4 linked regions of the Caenorhabditis elegans genome follow. The protein of the gene in region 2 interacts with the protein of the main gene of each other region in a pairwise test. Each region holds a gene or a part of one and is shown on either strand. Other genes may lie near its edges.

Region 1 (4,987 bases), on a different chromosome or scaffold from region 2:
CTGGGGCTCCAGTTGCTACTGAAAACTTTCTTTATAAGATTTTTGCGGCTTAAACATGGACCAATACATTTCGCATCTCCAGATGATAAACAATGTGAGAAGTTTTCCGTTTTTTGTAACAATCTTTCAAATCTCTTGAAGGAATCGGCGGCGTCGGACGATTCCGGTTCATCGTCCACTTCCATTGAGGGATCGTTCCCGGAAGACTGAAACGTAGAATGTAATGTATTGTTTTATGTGAAGAATGTAAAAAATATCTTTAATAAAACGCAAAACCTATGTACATCAAAAAATTATTTACCTCCGGGATGTTGGAATCGGTGTCCATAGGCTCGTCATTTATTTCGTTCGAAGACTCGTGAACCGACATTTTCTGTGACAATCACCAATTAACAACTGTACAAATTACCTCGGGCGTTTACAGGTTTGATAAAGAAAACATTTATAATCGAACAAACCGATAATTCTAACAAAAACGTGTGAAAAAGGTAACCAGCGCGCGAAAATGAGGCAACCAGAAATTGAACAGCATTTTCGCGGTTCTCAGTGGATACGCAGACACGGCGACGCGCAAATACACAGAAAACTAATAAATGCGCGCGAATTTTAAAAATAGATGCTTGCCGGATTTCTACAGTAATCAGTTTAAAGAACTCATTGAAAAGTTTTATTCGAGAATAAAAAGTTGTACAAAAACAAGCTGTTTCTTTATGCTGACCCCGTATTTCAAATCTATGAGAAAAAGAAGGATGCTTTGAATTGTAAATCGATAAATCAGAAAGTCAATCGATAAATGTCAGCCCCTCACTTAATTCGCAGAAGAACAATATTTACAAATTCAAAAATGGCTGCCACACTTCGTCAACGATGTTTCCATCGGCTTCCACTATTTTGCGCCTTATTATCTGTTATGCTCAGTGAGCATAACAGATAATAATAACAGATAATAATAAGCATTGCTCACCGCATTTTTATCCTATGACATTTTTGAATTAAAGAAAATTGTTCCAACATATCTAATTCCGATATACTTTCTACTTCATTTTGTTCCTTTTTACATTCCACACTGCCTTGTTCATTTTGGATTGACAAAAATTAGACAAAAACCATGGAAGTTTATCGCAAGTCACGTGGGAGCAGTAATTGTAAATTTAGTAATTATTTTTGTGGTGGTGAGCACAACTTTTTATAAATCTGTGAGTCAGAATAATTGTTTTGTTTGATATACATCCCTAGAAAGCGTTTGAACCTTCAACAAGGCTATATGTCGATTTACGCAGGCTGTGTACTCCTCGAGGAGAAGTTATACTTTTTGTTGAGAATTTGTGGTCTAAACTCCTCATTTTCACTACTTTTGAGAATTCTTTTTGAGTTTTGAATTAAAATCATAATTTATTTCTTAATTATAGTGCGGTAAGCCAAAAATCAAAGTACCCTATTATAGTTTCATGCACTTTTCAGAAGGGTTTTGCCTAAAGTTCTTAAAATCTACACATGGCCGTCTTCGACGCTTTTTACGGCCATTCATTTTCAAACGAGAGAGAATTTGGAAGCTTGTGACCTACTATCAATAATTATTTTCAGATCTACCTGCTTTGTACCTTGTATCCATTATCAATACTCTCCTACACTACAGCTTTGGGAATTCTCCAGCCTCATCATAACCTCCAACTCTCAGTTTCAACAGATAGGCGTTTTTCTAATTCATTGGCCTTCTCGAAATCAACTCTAATTACTGCGTTCTACACGTTTCTCGTCATATTCATTTTCTTCTTTCCTATGAAAGTATTTGAAAATCCAAACCAACAAAAGTTGAGAGAAATTACATTAATTCTTCTAGAACTTTTGAACTTTTCTCTTATTGTTATGACCTATAATACTTTGATTATCATGTCAGTGAATGTACTCACATTCGTTGGAAAGCATGTGGTCACTGGAGTAGACTGTGTAAGTCTTAAGACTAGTCTTCTTGTTAAGCTAGATGACGGGAAGTGGATTGGAGACGTTGGGATCTTGGAACGATGTTGATTTGTTTATTTTTTTTAATAATTGTTACTTGCTTTGTTTTTTTGTAAAATAAATTAACTGAAAATTCTCCTGTGTAAGAATTTCATGCTTCTCAAAAACACAACAAAAAACATTTCACGCGGAAAATAGTTCTCGCGTGACCTTTGCCACACACTCTTCCGACCCACGTCATCCACGTGGCAACGCCGAGACTTCTTCCGAAACTCTTTTATTAACATATTCTGCTTCGCATGTTGCTTTCGATTTTTTTGTTCGTGCTCAATAGAATAGAAATTTCTGAAAAAAATGGATCGTCTTATCCGTTCGTTGTTGATGAATCAGAACAAGCAGGCAACTGATAAACTTGATCATCCGGACACTTCTGAAACGTAAGTTTAAATTTTTTATGGATTCCAGAATTTGTTGAAATTTCAGAGTGAACATTTCCTCGTTGGCTTTGCTGAAAATGCTGCGCCATGCTCGTTCTGGAATCCCGTTGGAGGTGATGGGTCTGATGCTCGGAGACTTTGTGGACGACTACACTATCAATGTTACGGACGTTTTTGCAATGCCGCAGAGTGGAACCAGTGTGACCGTGGAATCGGTGGATCCTGTGTATCAGACAAAGCATATGGACTTGCTGAAATTGGTTGGAAGAACTGAAAATGTTGTTGGATGGTGAGTAAAGGGGACCCAAGAATATAGGCAATCTTTTAGAATCTACGACGCAGCAGATATAGTTTTCAGTTTTTATAATCAAAGCCTCTATTGAAATTATATAACAACTTTCAGGTACCATTCGCATCCAGGATTCGGATGCTGGCTATCTTCTGTGGACGTAAACACTCAACAGTCTTTCGAAGCTCTCCATCCCCGTGCTGTTGCAGTTGTCGTTGATCCGATTCAGAGTGTGAAGGGGAAAGTTATGCTGGACGCATTCCGATCTGTAAACCCACTCAACTTGCAAATTCGTCCTCTCGCTCCAACTGCTGAACCACGACAGACTACTTCCAATCTTGGACATCTCACTAAGCCATCGCTAATCTCTGTTGTTCATGGTCTTGGCACCAAGTACTATTCGTTGAATGTCGCCTATCGCATGGGGTCGAATGAGCAGAAGATGTTGATGTGTTTGAATAAGAAGAGTTGGTATGATCAATTGAATATGTCAACTTACTCGGAGCTTGAGAAGAAGCAGGAGGAGAAGTTCAAGAGCATCAACAAACTGATTGCAGTCTTCAATAAGGATATTGACGAAGTTAAGGAGAAACCAATTGCAGATAAGAAAGGAAAGACTCAAGAAGAAGTCAAAAAGTTTGGAAAAATCAATGCAAAACAGCAATTGCAAATGGTAAAAATCGAATAAACGTACAGTGAAAAAATGTTTTAATTTCAGATCACTTCTAGCCTTCTCAACGATTCCCTCTGCCATCAGCTTACTGCAATGATCAACGCAAAATCAATGACATGAACTAGCAACAATTTAAATTGTGTTTCTGAATGACGTTCTTCCCATTTCCATATCACATTCAAATCAATAAATAGAATCATTGTACAGATCTTATCTGACTGCCCTCCTCATCTGCCTACTTACTACCTATTTTCTCGATTCAGCTGAATTTCGGTGTTCCATGTTCGCCCAGTACAGATATTAATTGTATAGTTTGTTGGCAGTGCAATTACACATTTGAAGAACCTGTTTGTGTGGTAGGCAGGTAGGCATACGTAGCCTTGACGGAAGTCAGGAATTTTTGTGCCTACTGCAAAGAATGGGCACTTTCATAGATAAAGTTCTTATCAAAAACAAAACATAAAACCCGTGAAAAATATAGAACTTCCTTCCGAGGTTACCATTTACGTGTTCCAATAACCTACTAACCTTGTTCTCTTGTTTTTGCTACATTTAGACTTCACAATCAATTCAGATTTTCAACAGCTTCACAGAAAGCATCCGAGGAGATCCGTAAGTTATACCAAACCAGTTTCAGCATGATTTGGCAAAATGTGCTTCAGTGTCGGTATTCAAAGTGAGACGTGTACTAGGAAGGAAATAAATAAGAGATTCGCATGAAGCTTTGTCACGCTATATTTTCAACTTTTGTTGTATTCTTTGTGGCTAGTGGAGCCGGAGAAAAACAAGGTAAATTGAAAATTTCTGATTGATTCACAAGAAAATGTCATATTCCTGGACTCTCACATGAAACTTATGTTAATTACTATTCAGGCGAATCTCAACTTCAACAAATCTACGATGAGTTATCCATTCTGTCTCGTGTAACCAACGCAATAGCTCTACAGGCTGCAGCTCTATCCAAAACTGTCAAAATCCGTGAAGTGATCACCGAGCTTCTGAAAGTTGATAATGGTAACTTCTCAAACTTGTTGAGCCTAGATCCTGCACATCTTGTCAAAAACCTTGACGAGCTTCACAAGAAAAGCCTTCAAGCTGTGAGTGGTTCCAATGAACAGTTACAACAGGATCTCAAAGAAATGATAGCGATGAATGGACTATTGGCAGCTGTAGAGTCTGAAAATTACACTGAAAAAGCAACAGTGAATTCTCTGATTGTTCTGAAAAAGGTTGATGAGAAGATGGAAATTTGTGATGAAAGTTTGATCACAATTATGTTCAATATTTCTCAGGCAATGAGTGGAGTTCCATTTGCTGAATCTGACGAGATGAAAATTTTCTCGTCAATGAAAACTATGAAAAAGGCGTTTTATAAATGCATTTCCAAGTTTCCAGCATTTATGCAAAAACTATATGAATACAACTATCCGTTATCTGGTTTCCTGGAACTCAATGACACAATGAATACAATTAAAGCATTGAATGAATTGGACATTGCAAACAAAATTCCTAACATGCTGCAAAAGTTCAAAACTCCATTTTTGAATATTTTGGCTGTGGGGGACCACAGGAACAAAGGAAATACTGGAAAACTGTTACAATCTGCAATAACACTTTTCAAAAAAACAG
Region 2 (5,547 bases):
CAGCTTTCTTCCAAAAACTGTAAAGCAACTACTTCCGACCGCGATTAATTTGAAATCCGAAATCCGAAATCCTAAACGAAGAGATGCGAAATAAAAAGAAAATTGGTGGCGCTCCAGGCAATTGTCACACTCGGACACCGGATCCTCCGAGACGTTCAACTAATCCGCTCGACACTGCTTCTAGTCATACTTAAACCGTTTTGTTTTCTATATTTACTACTATTCTACTTCATTTTTCATCTTTTCAGAAATATGAATCTGATCTTTTTACTATTCACTTTTCCCATCTTCGTAGACAATTTTTTGTTTGGTTTCGGTAAGTTTGAACTATTTGAAATTCCAATTATTATGTGGAGTTATTAATGAAATACATATGAAGTAAGCTTGACTTTATTTTTTACTAATTGGTTCGAAAAAAACGACTAATATCCTTTATCATGATTAGAAACCGCAATCGTTCTCGATGTTGGCAGGAAATGAAGGTTGGAAAAAAAAATTAATCGCGGTATCTTTTTAAACATAATATAGACATAAACTTTGATCTTATTACCGTGCAAAATCACAAAATTTTGTTCGGTAACGATTTCTGATGATTTTTAGAACATTGATAAGATTTTGATAAGACATCAGACAATTACGTGAGTTTCATGAGAAATGGATACCAGAGACAATCTTGTCGACATCTCAATATGTTTCTTAAAATTTACACGAAAACCTTGACATCGGGTGGCAACATATTGCCCAATTTTGGAACAAAAATATTTACTTGCTAAAAACAAAAGTTAGGCAACACTCGAAAGGAAACAACGATTTTAAGTAACAGATACATTTTCTTGTACCTCAATTTTTATTATTAGCAAAATAAAGTTCTTTATGATATATGACGTATGTAAGATGTAGGAACAAACAATTAATTCCCAGAAGCCTGTAATTTATTTTAACGGACTAGAAATTTTCCAACACTTTTTCCTTTACTTATCTCATACTATTCAGGAGGCGGTGGCGGATGCGGATGTGGAAGTTCCTGTGGTGGATGTAACATGGGATGCTCCTGCCTACCACCTCCCCCTTCTCCAGTATGTATGCCACCTCCACCTCCACCGTGCCCGATGCCAATCCCGTGTCCACCTCCTCCGCCTGCCTGCTCGTGCCCGCCACCGGTAACCATGTATCAGGTAATTTTACTGTAAAATTTGCCTAATTTCATTGTTGTTATATCTTTTCAGCCCTGTATGGTTCCTCAATACGTTCCTCGATGCAGTGGTGGATGCGGAGGGTGTGGTGGTGGATACGGTGGCGGTTACGGTGGTGGGTGTGGTCGAAGAAGACGTGCGATCAACAATCAGACGATACATTGATATGTACAATGGTTTTTGCTTATATAACATCTTTTCTTTCAGTCATAACACAAATAGTACAAAAATAAAATGTTAAACATTCAAAAGTTACAGAATGAAGTTCCTAGAATCTAGTACGACGTGGATTCTGTAATAATTTTCAAATAAAATGCTTATAACGAGTGTTCTGTAAAATATGAGCCTTGTGGATTCTGAGGTCCTGAAACGACAAATAAAATGTTGAACTGGGGCTTGCGCTTTCAAAGAGGAATGCAGCTGTATATGTAGTTAATGGTGGTCTATTTCAATATTTTGCACAGTGTTTCACAAGTTTAAAAAATGCGTACCTAAAGACGCACCGAGATTTGGATCTCGCCTCAAGACAAAGTTTATGTTTTTTTTTTCCAATTTACCGGGAATCATAATAAATATTTTCTCGTGACGAATTTCAATCCGCATTGAAGTTTCAGAAAACTGCGACATTAGTCATCAATATTTAGTGTACCCTTTAAAATCTCAGCTACAATAAATTCTTCATTTTTCGGAATCGATTGGAAAAGGGTATTTAGAATTTCAGAAATCTTTTTTTTAAAGCTATATTTAAAAAAAAAAAATAAAAATTCCTAACCAATTATTGATATTAATGGAGAAAAACGCACCGAAAACGGTCAAATTTGAAAAACCGCGAAAAACGAATTTTGTCTGCCTGCCTGCGTCTCTTCAATTCCTCCAGTGTCTCGTCTTCCTCAAAACAACCAGACGAGAGCGCTCATTTCGCCATTTTTTGTGTTACAGGCTGCATTTCTTCCTATTCCTTATTTTTGCTTCATTTTTTCGTTTTTTCAAGTCAAATTGATTGACAGAATTTACAATTGTAGAAATGAAAATTGAATTTTTAACGAAACGCCGACACAAATCTGAAAATTTGTTGGAAAATGTTATAATTTCTTCGCTTCTTCTGAACGCATGATTTCCCAACAATTTTAATTGCATTCCTATCCATCTATTAGCAATATAGTTTTTTCTTAACAAGTCGACTCTGGAAAATATCAAAAAATTCCTAACGACCTTCAAAAACGACATTTCCCACTGGTCACTGCGACCCGCATCAGCTGTTTTCCAATTCGAACATTTTATGCCTGCGTCTCCAAGAGCTGCTGATTCATTCTCTGGCAAACACATGATTCCTCGAGTCGTTTTTACACTGAGACGTAGAAGACAGACGACCTAGAATGTTTCGAAATCACACTCTAACTCTCTCAATGATTTTACTCTCCTTTATATATTGCTAGCAGTAACCAGTGCTTAGTGTTTGCATTCTCGATCATACGACCTCACTCTTCTCATATATTTTTCTCATTTTTCAACTCGAGATTTTGTTATTATCACTCACTAAGTAATATTTTTCAGAGAATGAACGATCCGCTTGACTCCCTCTCGAATGACGAATTCGAGATAATCGAGACTTTTGACCGTAAGTTTTTATTTTATTTTAAAAAAAGGACCTAAAAATTCAAGCTCCCAAGCTAACCCAATGAGAAAATATAACTTTTGTCTAGAAATAAATTGTTTGCATCATGATTTCGAAATTTCTTCGCATTTTTTGAAATTATGGGTCAACTTTCTGAAATCGATTTATTTGTTATTTCACAATCGAGGATTTTTAAAAATTCAAAAAAAAATTCCAGCTGAAACAGAAGATCGTGAGGATCAATGGAGTATTCAGCAGAGTATCCGAATCGAGCCAATTTCAATCCAGATGCCGAATACACTTCAATCACAGCGCGCTCCATCTCCTGTCGGATCGAAGGCCCCGGAGTCGTTGAAAGACGAAGATCCAGATCGTACACCTGAAGCATCAATCGTTGAAACACCGCTCCTTACCGAAACTTTGAAGGAAGATCGTACTCCAATGTCAACTCCTCTCGCGTCTCTTGTCAATTCGAGTCAATCTCCTGAATTCACTCTTCAGAATATGTCTATTGTGTCCGAGTCTGAATGTTCCAGTTAGTTTTAAACCAAAACTTATCATAAATTATTTATTTGACCAAGTAAATTCCAGATAATTCCTCTCTTGTGAACGTGGCGGACGTTGAATCAACAGAAATCGCTTTGAGAACATCACTTCTTCTTGTGAGCGAGCTGAAATCTCAACTTCAAGCTGCAAAAATGTCTGAATCCACTCTTCTGAAATCAAATTCAAACCATGAAATTGAAGAAAACAAGAAACTATCTGAGAAAATGGAAGTTATGAAGAACGAGTTCGAATTGAAGATGCAAGAATCAGCTGCTAGCGTAGAGAAAGTTATCCAGGAGAAAGACTCGGCTATCGAGCAGCTCAAAGTGCAATTGGCTCAGAGCCAACAGGTGGCCGAGCTGTGGAAGCAGGGAGCCGAGAAAAACAGCAACGCTCAGTACAGTGACTCGAAGACTACTATTGATAGACTTTTGGAGGAGAACTCGAAATTGAGAAATCTGGTTGATGAAGAGGTTGCTCGCCGGCTCGAAGAATCTGAGCGTCGCAAGCTGGCGGAGGATCAGTTGAAACATGCAAGAGGAGGCTCTGTCTTTGATCCACCAGCCTCTTTTGTTGCATCGCAGTTGGCGGAAAGAACCACATATTCATTGAATCTGGAACATGAGCTTATCACTCTGAGAAAAGAATTGGAGGAAACTAAAGAAGCACTGAAGAAATCTGTAGAAGAGTCGAGCAACAAGGATGAGATAGTTAGTGCTCTGCATGAGGTGCGGTTTTGATAACTTTTTTTTAAATTAGTTAACCATAGAAACCGTTCAAGCGGTCATTGCTATCTTAAATTTTTAATTTAGTGCTAAAACAACGTTGTTTTTCAACGACAAACATAAGATTTCATTTAACAATTTTTTGCAAAAAATACCAGCTTGCAGGACCAACAGGAGAGCACCCGCATGCTCGCTTCGAACGAGCAGGTGATCAACAGTCTGAAGCAGAAATGTCGTCAACTTGGAGTGCTGGAAGACTTCTCGAGCTAAGCCGTCAAATTGTTCATTTTATCTCCCACCAATAATTCTCATTTATCACGCCACATTGTGTACATTCAATACTTTTAAATTCTTGTTTTCATGATTTGTTCTATTTTGTATATTATCTTGCAAAACCCGTGTCAATAAAAATTATGATGTAGAAAAAATTCTAATCATTTCTCAGCAATTACTCGAATTTAGTCGGTAGTTTATTGGTAAATTGAAATGAAAAAAATAATTTAATAATTGCAGGTTTTTGTAAAAGATGTACTCTTTGCTCACACGACGGGTTATAGTATTAGGAAATGGTGAGTGAAAACAATAACGATACAAACGTACATATATTCAAGATCTAACGATTCGAGAAAATTCATAATGAAATTTAACTGAGAGATAATCGATCTATTTTTGCGCCAAAAATACGGTACTCTGTATCGACACGACATTTTTTTGTTAAAAGCAAACGGGGGTGCACCTTTAAAGTGTACTGTAATTTCAAACTTCCGATGCTGTGGAATTTTTTAATTTTAATCGATTTTTCAGAGTTGTTATTGCGACTTGTTATATTGTATGTATTGTTAATTGTTTAGTTTTAGTTTTTTTTTCAAATAAATAAATGCATTTTGAACGAAACAATTCGGAGAAATTTTCGCACCAACAAAAGTTTTATAAATACAGTACTCTTTAAAGGCGCGCACAATTTTTTAGTTTACAAAACTTTTTCGCGTCGAGACCGGGAAATGTTTTTAGCGCGAAAATTGCGAAATTTTGCGTCTGGCTAATATGGAAGTTTTTACAAATGATCAAGGTTAAAAATAATAAAAACTACAATCAAGGTTGTCAATTCCCGTGTCCCGTTTGTCCCGTTGTCCCGATTTTGGGGTGTTTCCACGGGAACGGGAATTCCCATTGTCCCGTTTTTAAAATTTTCACGGGAACGAGAATTCCCGCTGTCCCGTTTTTGTCATTGTTACGGGACACTGACACCCTTGACTACAATTACAATGTTTGATCTGTGTTATCATGCTCTCATTTTCATATCGGTATTTCAATTACATAATTTCATCGACACTATTGAAACGATTGTCATGATTTCTGCCTACTGATGATATCTAGACACTTCACTGTATTAACAGCACTCAACTTGCAAACCAAGATCAAAAGTTAGCATTTTGTATATAGTCCTCCGCTTTTCTACGTACTTCCT
Region 3 (4,849 bases), on a different chromosome or scaffold from region 2:
CCACTTTAACAGATTGTTTCTTGATATGGGAATTTCCCAGTGTCATCCAACGTAAATCAGACTCGACAGGATCCCGAAGATTGTTCTCTAGGAGTGGCAATGTAGTCGTGTCAACGTGGGGATCACAAAGGCGGACCATCATTTCTCCAGGTTGAGTTGCATAAACTTTGAAAATGTTCTTTCCTAAGTCGACGATAATCTTATCACAATCCGAAAGCGCTTCATAAGGAATGCTACCATGAGTTTTTACGACTTCAGCAAGATTTTGTGTTGGATTGCGAGGCTTGATCGTACGATGACGAAGCACTGAATGATTGCGACGAGATGATTGAATAGTTAGAATAGATGTGTTGTCTGTAAATTCAATATTTGTTCATTAGCAGCGAAAATGTTTTCTCACTGTCGTCTTCTTGAGCACGCGACTGACGAAGAATTCCATTTTGTGGAACGAGTGACGAAGATACCGGACATTGTTGGCTTGCCACAGAGACAGTTCCAAAGCGCAATGCAATGTCGGTCATATCAGCGGTTCGATCTCGAGATATAGCATTTCCTGGATAGTCATCGATGCTTTCTTGATTCGAGTTGAAAATTTTTGAATCTTTGCTTCCATTTTCTGGGGGCACTTCGAAACTGTTGAACCCGTCACTGAAAATTGATAAATAACATCTGAAAAACAGTGATCAAAATGTGCCCTTACAAGGAATCGGATGTTTGATCTCTAATAGTTGAAGGAGCGGATACTACAGATTGTTCAAACGCTGAAGCTGAACCTGTAAAATAAATTACTATTGGAAAGCATCATTTGATCACTTTTACCGCCAAAAGATTCAGATTGAATAGAAACATCTGCTGACGGATTTTGTTCACTTTTTTGAGTTGGATCGGCATTGTCACGATCAATACAATCAACGAAGATGTCACCTTTTTCGCTAAGACGCCAGAAATGCAGATATTCGTTGAAAGGAGGAACATTGAGCTGAATGTATAGTTCACTGAAATCAAAACATTCAATTTAGAACTGACTATAAAAGCGCAACAATACTTTTGCGCAAGTGAATTACCTTTCCGATATGTTCTTTCCCCATGCTGGTAAACAATACAACTGTTTGAACTTATTGGCAAGAGCTGCCAGTGTTACAATCTTGCGATTTGGCTCATCAGGATGTGAAACTCCTATCTCATCAGCATATTCTTTCAAAACCTCTGCAAGGTTTTTTACGCGAGAAATTGTTTTTGCTGGACCCAACTTGTGTCTTGCTTTGAATCTAAAAAACAAATCATTGACAACGATTTTTTAAACTTCCACATACTGCTCAGGTGTTCCTCTCGATTTAGCGATTTCCTCTGACGCATACGGACCTCTGAATGCCCGGAATGATGACCCATGAGTGCTGAGGTTATTAGTAGCTCCTGAACCTAAAAACGAGCGGGCCGGGCGTTTTGAGCTCGACTGCTGCTGGACCATTTCGATAATATCTTGGTTGGCTTCAGTAGTTCTTGGCCCATATCGGTGTATTCCATCACGGCCGAAAGTGTGTACAATTGACTCCGAGCATGCTTGAAGAAGATCGTCCAAAGTCGAACAGTTATATCTTTTCGGATCAGGACATGCACCATAAGAATCCCTGAAACAAAGGTAGTGTCGTTATTTTTCGCAAAAAGAAACTCACAGCAGACGCCGTCTGATTTCTTCTGTACTAATTGGTATTTTTTCCGCAACCAAAACAGCTTGAAGCTCGATTTTGACTTTACGCATAGGGTCTACCTTTTGATTCTCAGTTACATTGATCGACTTTGGTTGCACCTGAAAATGTGTTTATTACTATTTACCTTCACAGATAATTGAATACCTTTCGAACTCTTTCAAAAATTTCATCCCCTTCCGGATCAGAATCTCCGAAAAGCTCATTAGCAGGCATCTCGCGGGATAAGTTAACGATGGACCTAAACTGCAACTTGATTAAAACAAATATTCGAAGATCACGGCAAATAAAAAGTACATAAAACCAAATCCATTGAAAAATATCCACGAAATAGATGAACTTTCAATTTTGAATCTGAAGCCGCGCGCCGTGCGCGCGTAAACTTTAGTCATTCGCACTTTCGCGGTGAGACCCACTGCAGCGTACGCATTTTCCGGGTGAGACCATCTATTGCAATGAATTAACTGCGCCTTTGATACACTTAAAGTTTGAAAAGCTTGAAAACCGATTTATTTAATTTTGTTTCTTTCTCGATCGAGTTTCAAAATATAAACAAAAATAATGTAATGCTTGAAGATTGATTCTTGATTAAGATCTCTGATGCTAATCCAACTTAGGTGCACTGCCGGTCTTTAATTAAAATCAAACATTTTTTGTTTGTTCATTCTTTATATTCAAAGTTCTTTTTTGAAATTGTTTTATAGTTATAACTAGAGAGTTATAGTGATAATCGAGATGAATGTTCTAATAATTACTTGTTATCTAGCAGAAGTCTTTGAGCTTTATTTAATCGTATTTTAAGACTCGAAACACGTATGGATTGGATCCAATGCAATCATTGTGGCATTAAACCAAATCAAACGAAACTGTACCTAACAGCATGCGGTCACGTTTTCTGTCAAAACTGTACGAAAGCTGGTTAGTAAATTTTAATAATAAATTTAGCTAGAATTTATATAGCATTTTTAGCATTTAACTCGCAGTGCTACTTGTGTAAAAAACCGCTAAAGGTGGATGAAATCAATAAAAACTTGCGACCTGATTTGATGGTAATGTTTCAGTCGACTTAAAATTCAATTTAAATAAAAAACCATCTCAGGAATTGTTCAAAGATCCGCGACAGCTGGCGTCAGACCTGGTCAACGAGCTGAAACAAGTTGTCGCATTTCAGGCGAAACAGCGAGAAATATATGTAAAATGTAAAAACGCCGAGGTTATCTGTTGACAATTGAATAACCAATAAAATTAATAATTTCAGGCGAAAAAAGATACCGAGCGATTCGCCGAAGCACGCTCAAAACACGTGGAAAAGACTCAAGAAATCGAAAAACGAAAGAAAGCTTTCCTTGAAGATAATGTCAAACTGAAAAATGCAAAAGAGGAAAAGAATCAGCTGATGGCCAGGCTGAAGGAACTACGCGAACAACCATCTCAAAATCTTTCTGTAAATAAACGCCGATCGAACACTCGAACTGAGCCGCCTTTCTCGAAGATATCCCGAACTGGTCCTCCCTCTGTGATGCGAAAAGCTAGTCATGAATTTTCATTAAACCTGCGTGATCAGTCAACGTCCAAGATTCTCACCAGCACTCCTCTCTCCAATGTTAGTTTTATCTCCTGTTTTCCAGTCCCCAGTACACTTGGTATTTTGGATAATCTTTAATGTCAATCCAAAACATCTGGCTGCCGGGTGTATTGCCAAGAAATCATTTGAATCATGGAACTTTCATTAATCCGCTCGCAATTGCTGTGATTGATTAAGTGTAATTTTTTCCAGATCGATTATAGTCGCCGTGATCATAGGAATAGATTGTTTGGCGCAGGACTTGAGCATCCGTCGCCAATTCTTCGTCAATAAAACTCCCTGTATGTCACCTCCGTATTTTTATCCTTTTTCCACAATTTTTATTTCTATTCAAAATCAAAGGTTTATTGCCCCCGTAATATCTCCCAAAGAATATTTATTCCCCTCTTCACTTTCACAGTATTTGCATCTTTATCGTTTTGTAACATCACCTGCAGATTTTGTAAACTAAAGATTTATTGATTGTTTTATGGTACAAAACGCGACGCGCAATTCCAGTAAATGCGGTTAGCGTTTCCTCATTCTTTCCTCCAGCCATCACCACACCACCAGGTGGCTCGAACTCCACTCTCTCGAAAAATGTCTCCAAATTGCGAAACTCCTACTTCTTCTTTGTCAACGTCTCTTCGATTTGTACCGTCTCTCGCATGTATTGCTGAAGAAGAGCCAAAAGTAATCGGAATCCGAAAAATAACCGTTCCCGGATCTTCGAAACCGTTCCAAGTGCAAATACCACTCTACGATTTGAATATATATGCCCCTGAACCACCGAAACAGCCACTTCCGGACAGTTACCAACGATTGCTTGCAGAAATGGATCAATATATCGGAGGTCATCAGAATTCGGAGATGTATAAAGAAATGGTGAGATTTGCTTTTATTCTGGAATTATTCTTTTACTTTGCCTTGTGTTTCAGGCCAAAAATCTACGACACAAAGTTGCAGTGGAACAAGCAGAAAATAATCGACTTTCGGTGAGTTTTCAAAAGTTTTGCAAAGAGTTTTCAGTTGGTTCTAAATCAAGGGTGTCATTTTTCGAGCTTTTTTTTGATTTCTCAAGTTTTTTCAGGAAATATCGGAAAATCAAGAAACGAAAATTTTTGAATTATATAATTAATTGTCGATTTTTTAAAAATTGAAAAACGAAAATTTTTCGATTTTTTAAAAATTGAAAAACGAGAATTTTTCGATTTTTAAAAATTGAAAAACGAGAATTTTTCGATTTTTAAAAATTGAAAAACGAGAATTTTTCGATTTTTAAAAATTGAAAAACGAGAATTTTTCGATTTTATAAAAAATCGAAAAATCGACACCCTTGTACTCAATAACTAATTCATCCTGTTCTTTATTTTTTTTTTAGAAATCAAACTTCACAAATCGAGATTGGTACTGGTATGCTGAACAAACGAGAGCCTTTGTAGATGAGCCTGTGATCAATTCTACCAGCAAAACTCAAGAATCCAACATTTCTGAGTGCTTGGAAGAAACCTCATCTTCTGCAAAAAGTACAGTCATGAAGGATGAAGATTTGTTTGATTTAAGCGCCGACTTCTGAGAA
Region 4 (4,808 bases), on a different chromosome or scaffold from region 2:
CTTTGTCCTAGATCTTTCCTTATATAACGGGGCAGAAAACCTCAGTCAATCAGTATTCTGAGCAAGTTTCTCTGAATAACCCCAAACGAAAGACAACGATGGCGGACAAGTCGGCTTACATGGGCGCTGGAGGCTATGGATCAGGCTACATGGGATCCAATGCCTCGTCGTCGGGATATGCCCGCGAAGACTATGCACAAGGAGGAAATGGTGGTGGACAACAACAGCAGAACCAGGGTTCCGGAGGAAACACCAACCCAGGTGGACAGGTCTTCAAGGCCCGCACTGACCAATCGTGCTACCTTGGACCATAAGATGATCGACACTAGAAGAGCCAGTAGCCAACAGAAATGCAACTTTCTTTGGCCTTTTGTGCCCAATAAATAGTTTTTCTTAGCTCGTTTTTTGTTGTTTTTTAATGTTAATTACTTTCTCAATTGTTTTCTCAACAGCAATAAGTTCTCCTCTGTTGTTGGTAGGTGCTCCGTACACCGGCCCAAATTCGTTGTCCTCACCTAGTCTTCTCCCTAGTAAAATTCGGGATTGATAACTGAAATGTTTTTGTTAAAACTATAATTTATATATAAATAAATAAATATATATATAAATAAATAAAGAATTTTAATTCAATAAGCACCTTCTTCTTCTTTCTTCAGTTTCTTAGCTTTCTGTCAATTTTGTTCCTTTGTAAGTCCGCTTTCTTGTGGCTGATGGATGGTTTTGATACTGCAGGAGTAACCGGCTTGAAAGATCATGCTTATTATACAGCCAATAACAAGGTAGCCGGTCTCGACACGACAAATTTATCAATAAATGCAAACGGGTCTGCGCCTTTGAGGAGTACTGTAGTTCCAAACTTCTCGTTGTTGCAGGATTTTATCTGATGTTCCATAAATTTTCAAACAATTTTATTTCATAAAAATTATTTTATTTCATAATGTCCCGAGAAATTGATTTTTAATTAATTGCGAGGTTTTGAACAATTTCGCGATTCCTGCCTCAAAAATACGATACCTGGTCTCGAAGCGATTGTTTTTCTCAAGTGCGCTTTTAAGAAGTACTGTAGTTCCCAACTCCTCGTTGTTGTAGGATTTTATTTATGTTCCATAAACTTTCACCCGTTTCTTTGAAAAATATATTTACAAAAACAATAAATTTTTAAGAAACTGGCGAAAAACCAGGAAAAATCGAAATAATTCCGTAACTACAGTACTCCACAAAGGCGCACGTTTTTTCGGAATTAATGAAATCTGTCGATGCGAGACCTGGTACTTTTCTTTTGGAGAACTCATATCAAACTTCTAGATAATCGGTAATATCTTTATTTCAATTGTTTCAATGATATTCACAGCGACACGCATAATCTGAATGGGTTTTGGAATAAGGCTTCGAGGGAAAAGGGGGAGGAAGAGTGATGAATTCAGTATCTGAACTGACTTCGTTGCATAAAATACTAAACATAAAACGGTAACACAAAAACACACTCGTGACCAGTACAGTTCACTAATTTTACAATTTTTGATTATGGTATGGAACAGTTAATATGTCTACTTGGTAGGAAGGGGGAAATAATAATACTACAGCGGATAAAATATAAATTGAAATTTCTTCTTAAGCGAGTCGATTACAGTGAGTGCATCGATTTTGAACGGTACACGGGACACAGCACAAGAAGATCAATCCAAATGGGAATGTGAAGATTGTGAGCATAATCAGACATAGAAGACAGCACATATCAGTTTGACGAGTGATCACTCCAACGGTCTGAAAGTTTTTTAATTGATTGATTGAATAAAGATTTAATCAAAGCTTACACAACGACGGCATGGTGCTCCAGGTTGAACATGAACTATGACATTACTTCCAGCAGGATTTTGAATACGAACTGCTCGAACGATCTGCTCAATTGCGGCCGGTTGTGGGAGACGCGTTTGTGCTGAAAATGTTTAATATAAAAAACGGATTACTTATTTGTTATTGTTTGAAATTAAAAGTTATTTGTTGCTTTCCGAGCTTCAAAGATTTATTAAAACTTACTAATCTGTGGTGGCTGGTAGTAGATCGGCGGTTGCCCTCCATTGTGATATTTAGGATCAGTCGATCCACCGTACGTCGGTGCAGCTGGATATGACATGGCAGCCTGATAGGATGGTGGTGGCATATCGTAGGAACTCATAGTAGGAGCTGGTCCAGCAGAAGCATGCGGTGGTGGTGGTCCTGCTGGAACTGGAGCGCTGACATGAACTTCTGAAGAGTTTTGAATGTCTGTGCTGGGATAGACAAATCCAGCCGGTGGAGGTGGACGAGACGGCGATGTTGGCTGTTGCTCGGGAGCTGATGGAGCCGATGGCTGAGCTGATGAGCTTGACATTCCTTCGTCAGTTGGAGGCTGAAATTTTATTTTGAATTATTTTTAATGTATAGAACTCGAGAAAATATAATTCAAGTTCAAATGGCTTTTTAATCAAAAAAAAAACTCACACTGTCTGGAAGAGGCTGCTTAACTGGATCCTGATGACCGGTCATTTCTAGAAATCTGAAAACGTGAGCGTTTGAGTGAAAATCTCGAGAATAATTTTACAAATGAAAAATGAATGCAACGATTGGAAAATAACCAATATTCCGAGAAGAGTTCAATTTTATAAAAGATCTTATTATTTTTTGTGGTCTTTATCTATAAATATAGCCTAATCTAATGAAAAAGCGAATCCTAATGAAATATTAAGAAAAGAAGAAAACACGTTGTCAAATATAAATAACCAAGAAGAAAAGAAGAGTCGACTGTACTGGGATTTGAGCAAAACACTGAGAAACAAAAATAGAAAAATTGAGCATTCTGATTACATTTAATTTTTTTAAAAAAGGCAGAAGGAGAAACAAATTATGAGAAAGACATAAAAAAAAGAACAAATCAAACAAAAAAACGGGCTATTTAAAGAAATCTGTTCAAATACAAAAAAAAAAAACAAGATTTGGCGTTGGAGATGATTTCCCTTGGTTGCAGACGATGTTTTTCTTCTGAAAAAATAAATCTTTGTTTTTATCGATTTTTTCCTAAAAAACACAGTGAGTGGTGGTAATGGAGGGTTCACTTTGTGATAAAAATGTATTCAGCGCGGACAAAATGATAATATGATAACACTGGCCAACGAATGAGACAGAGACTGAATTGACGAGAGAGTGAATGGAAGAGGAGACGATGAGAGAAAAATCGTTTGAAACAGTGTTTGCTGCTGTGGTCGGTGTGTCCCAGCACTCTATATTAATATGATAATTTCAACATGCAACAGTGACATTTTATTCAAAAGAGCCAGGGATACCACCGATGAATGTTAAATAATCAAAATTATCACAATTGAATAATCTGGGTTACTGTAGTTCAACTATCTGGATAATTTCGAGAGGAACAGATTTGATTGATAAAAAAAAAGCCAAGCAGTTTTTAGCTTTTGTAGGATGTAAGTTTTATAACTTGACAGAAAATACCTATTTTGGCAAAAAAAAATTTCTCGTTTTCTATAGATTTCAACAATAAAAACGTCGATTTGCCTCTGACACTTGAAATTAGAGACAAAGTGACTATTTTAATTTTAAATTAAAAAATAGTAAGCGAAAATATCCTACTATCAATAATATTATTACCCATACGCGGAATATTGCGGCTTTTGTGCGCCAAAAGTACGGTACCGGGTCTCGACACGACAATTTTGTTATATGCAAACTGATAAGATTACTGTAATTTCAAATTTTTGTTGTTGTGGAATTTTAATCGATTTTCTATAATGTTTCTCGCGATTTGTTAAAATTATTATTTTAATCAAAAAAAAAATGAAAAATTGATGGAAATTCGAAAGTTTTTTTTTTAGAATTTTCAGTTTTTTTGTCGTGTCGAGACCGGGTACCGTATTTTTGACGTAAAAGGTAATAGCAGAAAGAAAATTCAGAGCTTTCTGTGATTGGAATTTCTGAAAATTAACTATTTTTTGCAAAAAAGCTAATATCAATGTGAACAATCTCAAACACAAGAAGCGTCTGCTTCGTTTGTTTTCAATTGAATGTGAGATATGGATCTCTAGTCTCGCGCGTTTTCTAATCTCAATAGGGGAAAATCAAAAGAAGATTATGCCATATGAAATACATTTGTCCCGTGTCTGACCACGAGATCTTTTTTCTTTTTAATATTTCGCAATATTTCAGGTATTGTTCTAGAACATGTTCTGATAACACAATGAGAAATATTCTAGGCGAAAATAGTTTGTGGGGGACAGTAAATAACTAAGAAAATTGAAAAATCTTTAAAAAAAAAACAAAACACATGTATTAATGTTTTAGAATTTATCCCTGGAGACGTCAGACCGAAACAGAAAGAAAAAAGAAGACGTTGTGTAGTAGAATACAACAACCATGGCGACTTCAAGAAGAGGACGACAACCGGTTTAGTGATACAATAGTCAAAGAAATTGGCAGAGGGAGACGAAAATGTGACTCATTAAATTTTCAATGAAATTCTTACGAATAATCAGTATAAAATTTTCAACTTTTATGATATTGCAAATTGTATCTGGAATATTAATCATTGAGCTAATAAAAGCATTGTCGCTACTCAAAAATCATTGAATTAGTTATTTTTCAACAATATATCCAAAACTTTAATCAAATCGATTTATGAACAGCTAAAACATTCGTCATTCTTGCTCGTTAGGATCGAGACGAACACAAGATAGAAACATTCTAGAGAAAATAGAGAAAAATGAGCAAATCAGAGTGCAACTTCCGGGCGGAAATGGAAGGAAAACGAGAGAAGATAG

The links.
Region 1: the proteins of allo-1 (region 2) and F37A4.5 interact in a two-hybrid assay, tested with the Caenorhabditis elegans proteins (one large-scale study listed by BioGRID).
Region 3: the proteins of allo-1 (region 2) and zhp-2 interact in a two-hybrid assay, tested with the Caenorhabditis elegans proteins (one large-scale study listed by BioGRID).
Region 4: the proteins of allo-1 (region 2) and F11G11.5 interact in a two-hybrid assay, tested with the Caenorhabditis elegans proteins (one large-scale study listed by BioGRID).

The regions. Positions count from the first base shown.
Region 1 is NC_003281.10:6,709,631-6,714,617, forward strand, and holds F37A4.5 (Mov34/MPN/PAD-1 family protein), read left to right. Parts: upstream 1-2,238; 5' UTR 2,239-2,313; coding exon 2,314-2,396; intron 2,397-2,442; coding exon 2,443-2,685; intron 2,686-2,799; coding exon 2,800-3,358; intron 3,359-3,403; coding exon 3,404-3,478; 3' UTR 3,479-3,561; downstream 3,562-4,987. Other genes in the region: Chromatin-remodeling complex ATPase chain isw-1, read right to left, coding at 1-18, 68-206, 302-370; Ankyrin repeat-containing protein F37A4.4, read left to right, coding at 4,075-4,147, 4,232-4,987.
Region 2 is NC_003282.8:10,694,272-10,699,818, reverse strand, and holds allo-1 (Allophagy receptor allo-1), read left to right. Parts: upstream 1-2,746; 5' UTR 2,747-2,750; coding exon 2,751-2,811; intron 2,812-3,025; coding exon 3,026-3,343; intron 3,344-3,399; coding exon 3,400-4,082; intron 4,083-4,237; coding exon 4,238-4,384; 3' UTR 4,385-4,513; downstream 4,514-5,547. Other genes in the region: R102.11 (uncharacterized protein), read left to right, coding at 253-316, 994-1,175, 1,227-1,358; R102.4 (Beta_elim_lyase domain-containing protein), read left to right, coding at 5,446-5,503. UniProt on the Caenorhabditis elegans protein: Autophagy receptor, which is required for allophagy, an autophagic process in which paternal organelles, including mitochondria and membranous organelles, are degraded in early embryos.
Region 3 is NC_003279.8:8,484,716-8,489,564, reverse strand, and holds zhp-2 (Zip homologous protein 2), read left to right. Parts: upstream 1-2,502; 5' UTR 2,503-2,521; coding exon 2,522-2,624; intron 2,625-2,675; coding exon 2,676-2,755; intron 2,756-2,805; coding exon 2,806-2,919; intron 2,920-2,964; coding exon 2,965-3,309; intron 3,310-3,482; exon of another isoform or gene 3,483-3,483; coding exon 3,484-3,564; 3' UTR 3,565-3,755; downstream 3,756-4,849. Other genes in the region: lotr-1 (HTH OST-type domain-containing protein), read right to left, coding at 1-354, 401-648, 701-773, 820-995, 1,065-1,268, 1,314-1,628, 1,674-1,807, 1,854-1,922; D1081.6 (Carn_acyltransf domain-containing protein), read left to right, coding at 3,871-4,155, 4,209-4,265, 4,652-4,846.
Region 4 is NC_003280.10:4,855,651-4,860,458, reverse strand, and holds F11G11.5 (Membrane protein BRI3), read right to left. Parts: upstream 2,537-4,808; 5' UTR 2,527-2,536; coding exon 2,482-2,526; intron 2,390-2,481; coding exon 2,038-2,389; intron 1,937-2,037; coding exon 1,815-1,936; intron 1,765-1,814; coding exon 1,612-1,764; 3' UTR 1,307-1,611; downstream 1-1,306. Other genes in the region: nspd-5 (Nematode Specific Peptide family, group D), read left to right, coding at 99-314.